Canis lupus familiaris: one gene and its partner. The protein of the gene in region 1 interacts with the protein of each later gene in a pairwise test. Links are inferred from orthologs where the notes say so. Each region holds a gene or a part of one and is shown in the gene's direction. Other genes may lie near its edges.

Evidence for each region.
Region 2: the proteins of RPIA (region 1) and PCMT1 interact in binary tests that used the Homo sapiens proteins (3 or more experiments, as listed by UniProt). The two-hybrid records come from large-scale screens. The link is inferred for Canis lupus familiaris from reciprocal best matches to the Homo sapiens genes RPIA and PCMT1.

The regions. Positions count from the first base shown.
Region 1 is NC_049238.1:38,101,788-38,105,299, reverse strand, and holds part of RPIA (ribose-5-phosphate isomerase), read left to right. Parts: intron 1-1,179; exon of another isoform or gene 1,180-1,318; coding exon 1,319-1,378; exon of another isoform or gene 1,379-1,459; intron 1,460-3,432; coding exon 3,433-3,497; intron 3,498-3,512. UniProt on the Homo sapiens protein: Catalyzes the reversible conversion of ribose-5-phosphate to ribulose 5-phosphate and participates in the first step of the non-oxidative branch of the pentose phosphate pathway.
Region 2 is NC_049222.1:40,757,499-40,761,474, forward strand, and holds the start of PCMT1 (protein-L-isoaspartate(D-aspartate) O-methyltransferase), read left to right. Parts: upstream 1-1,174; 5' UTR 1,175-1,189; coding exon 1,190-1,418; intron 1,419-3,976. UniProt on the Homo sapiens protein: Initiates the repair of damaged proteins by catalyzing methyl esterification of L-isoaspartyl and D-aspartyl residues produced by spontaneous isomerization and racemization of L-aspartyl and L-asparaginyl residues in aging peptides and proteins.

The DNA.
Region 1 (3,512 bases):
TCATTATGTCTCTTTGAAAATTAGGGAGGCTTTTAAACATCTCAGTAATACCAAAAAATTTAACAATAATCTTTGGTAACATAAACACATAGTTTAAATTTCTCCTATTATCTAATCCTTTAAAAGTACTTTTTTTGGGTAGTATTTATTTATTCATGAGAGACACAGAGAAGGAGGCAGAGTCACTGGCAGAGGGACAAGCAGGCTCCCTGTGGGGAGCCTGATGCGGGACTTGATCTCAGGACCCTGGGACCATGACCTAAGCCTAAGGTAGACACTCAACCACTGAGCCACCCAGACGTCCCTAAAAGTATTTTTTATAGTTTGTTCAAATTAGGATCCTAGGAAGGCCTATATATTGCAAATTCCAGGCTCTATGTAGTTTTTTCTTAGAATCTTACAGTTTTGGATTTGAATATTGGCATTGTTCATTTCATCCATCCCCATCTTTTTATAGACAAGAAAAGTTGCCAAGGGTCATGTGGCTGGTTTGTTGAGATTAGAGCTGAGATTTTCTGATTTTTAATCTTGGGTGCTTTTCATTTTAAGCAGAAAATATTTTTAAGACATGCCTTTGAAAGAAAGTTTTCCACCCTTTGATACCTCTGCATATTATAGACTATGACATGGATACAGATCCTTATCACTTGGCTTTGGGTTGTCAACCTCCAAGGTTCAAGGTATATTTATTTCAGCTGTCAGTCCCACTCAGGGCCACATGGTGGTGGTAACCACTGCTCTCGCCTTTTGTCAGACCCTTTGAACTGTTAATATGAGGCATGTCTATAAAGTGAATCCTAGGACTGTCCCAGTGTGGTGTTCTCAATTTGCTGAGCTCATTTAGCCATTCTGGACATCCTGCCTTTGATACAGTCTGCTGAGTGTATATATTCTTTTGCTTATTTTCATTCAACATGGTAGCCTGGAAATCACTCTGTATCAATTCAGTTCTTATTTTAGGAAGATTTTTTGTTTTGTTTTGTTTTTTTGTTTTTGTTTTGTTTTTAAATACTCTATTACCATAAGCTTTAGGAGTCCATGACATTGTCTTAAATAGCAGGTCACAGAGAAGGAACTCTTAGCCTGGCATTGGGAGCCTTCACTGTGTGCTGTTTGCCTTCTTCTGGCTCCCAGGATGAATTAACTTAGTTTTGCCATTTATAGAGCTATATCTCCTACCTCTTAGTGGACCCAGTTGGATTTAGGAGGGAGCCTTGTTCAGGACTGTGTGTCAGACACTGAAATCCAAAAGAATGCTGAGAATCTTTGCCACGTGCTCAGAGTAAATGATTATGGTGCTTTTTCTTGTCTTCCACAGGCCCGTCAGCTCATCTTGCAATATGGCTTGACTCTCAGTGACCTGGACCGACACCCAGAGGTAAGAGAGGGTTGGGCTGCTGTGTCTTCATCCTTTCTTATGGCTGTCACTTGCTCATGGGCTCTGGATATCTTGTTGAGTCTAGGAGAAAGGTCAGTGAGTCATACTAGATTTTCTCCTGGGATTTTGAGTATTAAATTTGGCTAAGGTCACAAGAGGAGAGGTTGTTAGTTTCCAGTACATTCCCCGTGGTTTAACCCTGAGGGCTCAGTATGAGTGTAGTGAAGGGGGATTGGACAAACCCAGGGCTGGACCCAGAGCTTCCGGGGATCCTTATACAGAGGTATGAGTGAGCCAGCCCACGGAGTTTACCACTAGGTGGAGATAAGAAGTAATCATCTGAGGCAGCCATGGAATTTGCAAACAGATTATAATTAAGTGTTGTGGCAAAGATGGTTATTAAACACATGGGCAATTCAGAGGAAACTGAACTTGATGAGAGTGAGCAGCATATTAACAACTAGCTTTTACTGAGCCCTTCCTGTATACTAGCTAAGTACTATGTTTGTATTCAACTACTTAATATCTCCAGTAGTCTTGAGGGTGCATACCATCATTACCCCATTTTACAGGTGTGAAAAAGACAGAGAGGGCAAGTCATTTGTCAAAGCCACGCTTTCTGTAATTGGTAGAGCCTGAATATGAATTCAGATGCTTTTGGCTCTAGAGCAGTGCTACTAGGTTTTGTGGGGAGAGGTGAAGTTTGAGCAGAACTGTGAAGGCAGGGTGGCCATGGCAGGAGAGAGCATTCCAGAGAGGAGTAGATGAGAACCAGGGGCATTGGGCATATGTGGATAACCCCCAGGCTGGCTGGAGTGGTAAGGACCGAGTGAGTGGTATGCATTGGTGCATGGTGGGAGAGGAGAGGCTGGACTGGAAGAGTGGAAAGGGGTTATGGCAGCTTGAGAACCAGACTGCAGATGGGGACCCGATGGTCTACTAGTCTGTGTTGTCCTGGTACACGTGGGCCTTAGAGAGTTTAGTAAGAACCATGGGAAGGGCTCACTGGGGGATTTCTGTGGGCAGAGCCAGGGCAGAGTGTGAGTCAGTGTTCAGCACTGTGAGAAGAGTGGTTTGGGCTGAAGGTAGGCCTGGAACTCACACAAAGAAGGTTGCAGCCTTCCAGGCCCCAAGAGTTGCCATGATGTAGCCTGGCCCTGGGGTTAGCGCAGGGTGTGGAGAAGCAGTATAGCCTCTCTTTTCAGACAAAGAGCAGAATCTGAAAGCATGGAAACAAGGTGAAGCTGAAGCTTTGTGCACTTTATACTTGTGCCATGCCAGGCAGCTTAAACTGACTTGTACCCTGAGGTTTCTTCATACAGCTGCTTTAAATAACCATACTTAAGACTCCCACACTGTCTACTTGGAGTCCAGGAGTGTCACGAAATACTTAGCTTCCTTGATTTCAGATCTTGAAAGATGAATGAACCCACCTGCCCCTGACTGCTCCTGGGGTTGGTGGTAGAATTTCCTAATAGTGGGAGTGGGCATGCCCGGACAGGTGCTTTGGCGGGGTCATAGTCAGGGTGCCTCAGATAATTTCCAATTGCAGATCAAATGTGTGTCAGCTTTATAACTCTTCATTGGGTTTTCTCTCTGTGCTGGAAACTGCCTTTCTTTTTGCCACTTTAGCATGGAGACTTCTGAATCAGTGTTTCTCGGCCTTTTTTCTGTTGCCCCCCTCCAGTGAAATTTTAATACCACAGGTATACTGTGTATCTTTTCTGTACTTGGGGGTGATGTCACCCACATTGGGATTGTGTACTCTTAATAATTCTAGCTCATCCACAGAGATGCCTATCAATGAGAAAAGGGAGTGTAATGTGGGTAAGAACTAGACCCATGTGTGGCTTCCAGGCTCCATATTTAGTGGACCTTAGTGGAATAGCTTAACCTCTCAGAGCCTGTTTTTTGACTGATTAAATGGGAATAACTCTACCTAACTAATAGGGCTGCTGAGGATCTGATGAGTTATTACATGTTCAAGCTTTGCACAGAGCCTCCCCTCTAATGGCTCTCAGTAGTTTCTGTATCTTTCTTCTCTCCTCCCACAGATTGACCTCGCAATTGATGGTGCTGATGAAGTAGATGCTGATCTCAATCTCATCAAGGGTGGTGGGTGAGTGTTGTGGGG
Region 2 (3,976 bases), on another chromosome or scaffold:
AGTGTGTCAGTCTCTTAAAGAATAGTGCTTTGAGTGTGGTTTCATTTATGTCACAAAAAAAAAACAGGAAATGTACAAGTATGTCTCGGAATGGTAGTTGGCTGTGTTACACTTGACAAAATCCGGTGAGAACTGGAATTTGAAAATCGCTGCTCACGAGGTAGTGCAGAGAGGTCTTGACGTTGCTTTGTTTCCTTTCTTAACAGTTTATTGGAGTAAATGATGACTGGATTCTGTCAGAGCTCTGATTAGGAGTCAGCAAGTTGGAGGCGACGGGCAATGTTCCCCGTCAGCTTCTCACTCATTGTCTTGCAGGGCTGATAGCGATAAAGCTGGTGTCCAGTCTAACGGTGGCATTTGTGGGGATTAATTAGCTGAAAATGCACACTCGCGTCCGGAGAATAACGCATTCTCCATTAGATACCGTGTTAATTTTAGCCGAAAGCATTCCCACGCTGCACCCCCACGGTGCCCTCCCTTGCCGTGGTGCCCTCCCACTCTCCGAAGCTGCGCTGGAGACTTGCAACAAACCCGGGTCCCCAGCTCTCTGCTATAACCAAATACCGACGGACTTGGCACAGCGCAGAGGCTCGCGTGCTCGGGAGGGAAAGGGCTTTTGCCCTCTGGCTCTAAGATTATTCGGGCTCCGCCGTACGCAGCTCTGACTCTCACCGACCTAAACGTTAGACAAGTGGGTTGGGAGAGGCGGCACGAAGGAAGCCCAGCGTCCAACAACCCGCACAGCTATAGGAGCAGACCCGCGGCTCGCGGCAGCTGACTCAGCTGCGACGACGGAGCTAGCCGCAGCGGCGTAACCAGATCCGGCAGACGCGGCGGCACGCACCGGCCCCGCCGCCGCGCCACCGCGCCATAGCGCCACCGCGCCGGGCGACCGAGGCCGCAGCCAGGCACGCGACCGACCGCGCTCGGGCCCACGCCGTCCGGCCGCAGGCGAGCTCAGCAAGTTGGCGGCGCGCAGCCCGAGGCCTCAGAGGGGTGGCACGCGGCGGCGGCGGCGGCGGCGGCGGCGGCGGCGCTGACTCAGCCCGGGCTCCCATCCCAGCCCGTCCGCAGCAGCCGCAGCAGCCACCCGGGCAGTCGGCGGGGCACGAGGCCACCCCTGCCTGCGGCCCCACCCCGCCGCACCCGAGGCCGCGCAGCGTCACAGAGCGCATGCGTGCCGCGGGGGATGCCGGGAGCGCGCAGTGGCGGCACCGGCGGCGACAGCAGTCACAGCGGAGACTCCAGCGGGGACGCGAGCGGGGCGGTGACCGTGTGGGAGGTGGTCTCACTCTTGGGGAAGCTGCTGGGCACCGTCGCCGCGCTGAAGGTGGTTCTGTACCTGCTCCGGGTGTGCTTAGCGATGGCCTGGAAATCCGGCGGCGCCAGCCACTCGGAGCTAATCCACAATCTCCGCAGTAAGTGCCACCCCCGCCCAGTGTGGGGCAACTGGGCCAGGCTAGGCCCGGACTGGGTCCCCCTGGGCCGTCCGCAACGCTCTGCCTACGCCCCCAGCGGTGCGGGCTGGAGGGTACGGCGCAGGCTGGCGCCAGCAGTATCGAACGGCGTGCGCTTGCGATTGCCTCCCCCGGGACCTGTCACTCATCGGCGACGTGGACGGGAAGGGCAGGGAAGGAGCCACCGGCAGCTCTTGGTGGGGCAGGGGCAGGCGTCGCCCCACGGGCCTGGGGGAAGGGCTGCGGCGCAGGTGGTGGGGCTGTCACTCGAGTCCGCCGCCTGCTCGGTCGGGTCTGGCGGGCGAGGGGCGTGCCCTGGGGGGGGGGGGGGGGATGTTGGCCTGACCCGGAGGCTGGGCCGGATCCGAGGCGACCGCACCCTCGACCCCCGCGTCTTTCTCGCCTTCCTCCTCTCTAATAATCGGCCACGCTGCTAGCATTCTCTCCTTCCTATACTGCCTCCCCCGCCCTCCGTTTTTTCCTCTGGAGGGAGATGCCACCGTCTGATACAGGCGAGGGGAGGGAGGGAAAGATGAGAGTATTGTCATTGCGGATGCTGGGAGAAATTTCTGGGGCAGCTGTCCAGTGGAAATGTTCGCGGGGGACGGAGGAAGAAAGAATCAGAAACGCTCTTCCCGAGAGACTTGTATTTTGAGAGCTTTTAGAGATCCTGGGATCCAACCAACGATTGTGTGCGTGTGTGGAATGTTCTAGCTTTATTTCAAGGCAGTTTCTTTGTATCATTCTCTTTAGTTATTGTATTCCTTCCTTTTGCGATAATTTTAGGGTGGGATGAGTGCTGTGTTACTCTCTGTTTTTAGATCGAGATGCAGTGTTGCTGTCTGGTTGGGAGACCAGAAGGACCGCACTCCCTAATACCTTAACTCTAGTCAGAATTCATAGCACTCTGTTTGCCACCGACTTTGCGAATAATCGTACTCTGCCCACGTGGTATTTTTTAATTGTCGTATGTTATTTAGCTTTTCTTGTGCTTGTCATGTTTCCTAATTCGATTTGTAACCTCCTCGAGGGCTAGGACTTTTTTTTTTTTTTTTTTGTTTTTGATCTTTGAACTCTCTCAATACTCATTCCTTTTTTCATAAATGCAATTAAATATACGTTATATGCTTGGATCTGTGCTAGGAATACCAAGGTAAGTGAGAGAAATGAATATCCTTGTCTGGCACATGATTAGTACTTAATAGTCATTTGACTTTTTTTTTTTTTTTTTGCAGTGTTTAAAAGTTTTGAAATTGTGTCCTTTGCATTTAGTAATGAAAAATGTTTAGATTTCAAAATTCTGTCAAGCATTGCCAGTGTTCACTTTATGGAAGGATATTTGAGTGGAAGTGGATATTTATACGCTGAGACAGTGTTTTTAAGTGTGATTTAGGTTCCCATGGATTACACATAAGCTCAGTATGTTGTAAATATTTTAATAACATTTCTTAAAATGATCTAGTGCCTGCTTTTTCAGTGTACACGTCCAAAACATTCTATGCACAAATTATGATTAAGTAATTTTCCACTGGTAAATTATCACAGGAGATACTTGGCTATGGCAGAAATTTGTAATCATGCTCTTCATGACTCTTCTTTTGGGGCCAAACTTGTAAGTCAAAACTAGCTCTTTTCCCAGTGGTTTTATAATCATTTTATTGCATCATGCATTTATTGCATTTATAGAATTCCTAGCTGAAACGTTTAAGGATGTTTTTCTGTCAGAAAATTTAATAATAAGTATTTAACATACATGGATGTTAATACTGCAAATATTTAATCTTATACTGTATCCATGATTCATGATAGGAAATTAGAGTGCTCAAAATGTGTAGCCTCTTGTGACACTTGTGCAATGTTAGTTTACTTTCTGAATTCTAGCTAATAGACTTCGTTTCTATTTATTAGTTTATTATGAAAGTACTATTTTCTCATGTGAGAATTTCAACTGGCACAAAATTTGAAAATTTCTCCCTTTTCCTAGTTATTCTACTGTTGTGTGTTCCTCCTAACTTAAAGGCTTCTAGTTGAATCTTTAGAAAAAGATTAAAGTGTGATTATATTGTGGAATAACTATATTGTACCCTTAAAACTAATATAGTGCTAAACTGTTAACTATACTGGAATTAAAATAAAAGACTTAAAAAATGTGTTATGTTGATGTTGAACTGAAAAAGGATCTGCAGATCTGAAGAGGAAGCAAATTATAGTTGTACATTAAAAAAAATAAAGTTCATGATTGCTTTAATTTTAATATTATGATCATATTGAAAATAACTACTGAGTTTTCCTTTTATAAGATGTCATAATAGAAATATGGTTGTGTATGATTTCATAGTTGATAAATCATTTACAGAATATTGTAGAATGTATATGGTATATCTCATAATATTTCATAGCTTATATTATGACAACCACTCTTTTTTTTTTTTTTTAATTTATTTATGATAGTCACAGAGAGAGAGAGGCACAGAGACACAGGCAGAGGGAGAAGCAGGCTCCATGCACCGGGAGCCCGA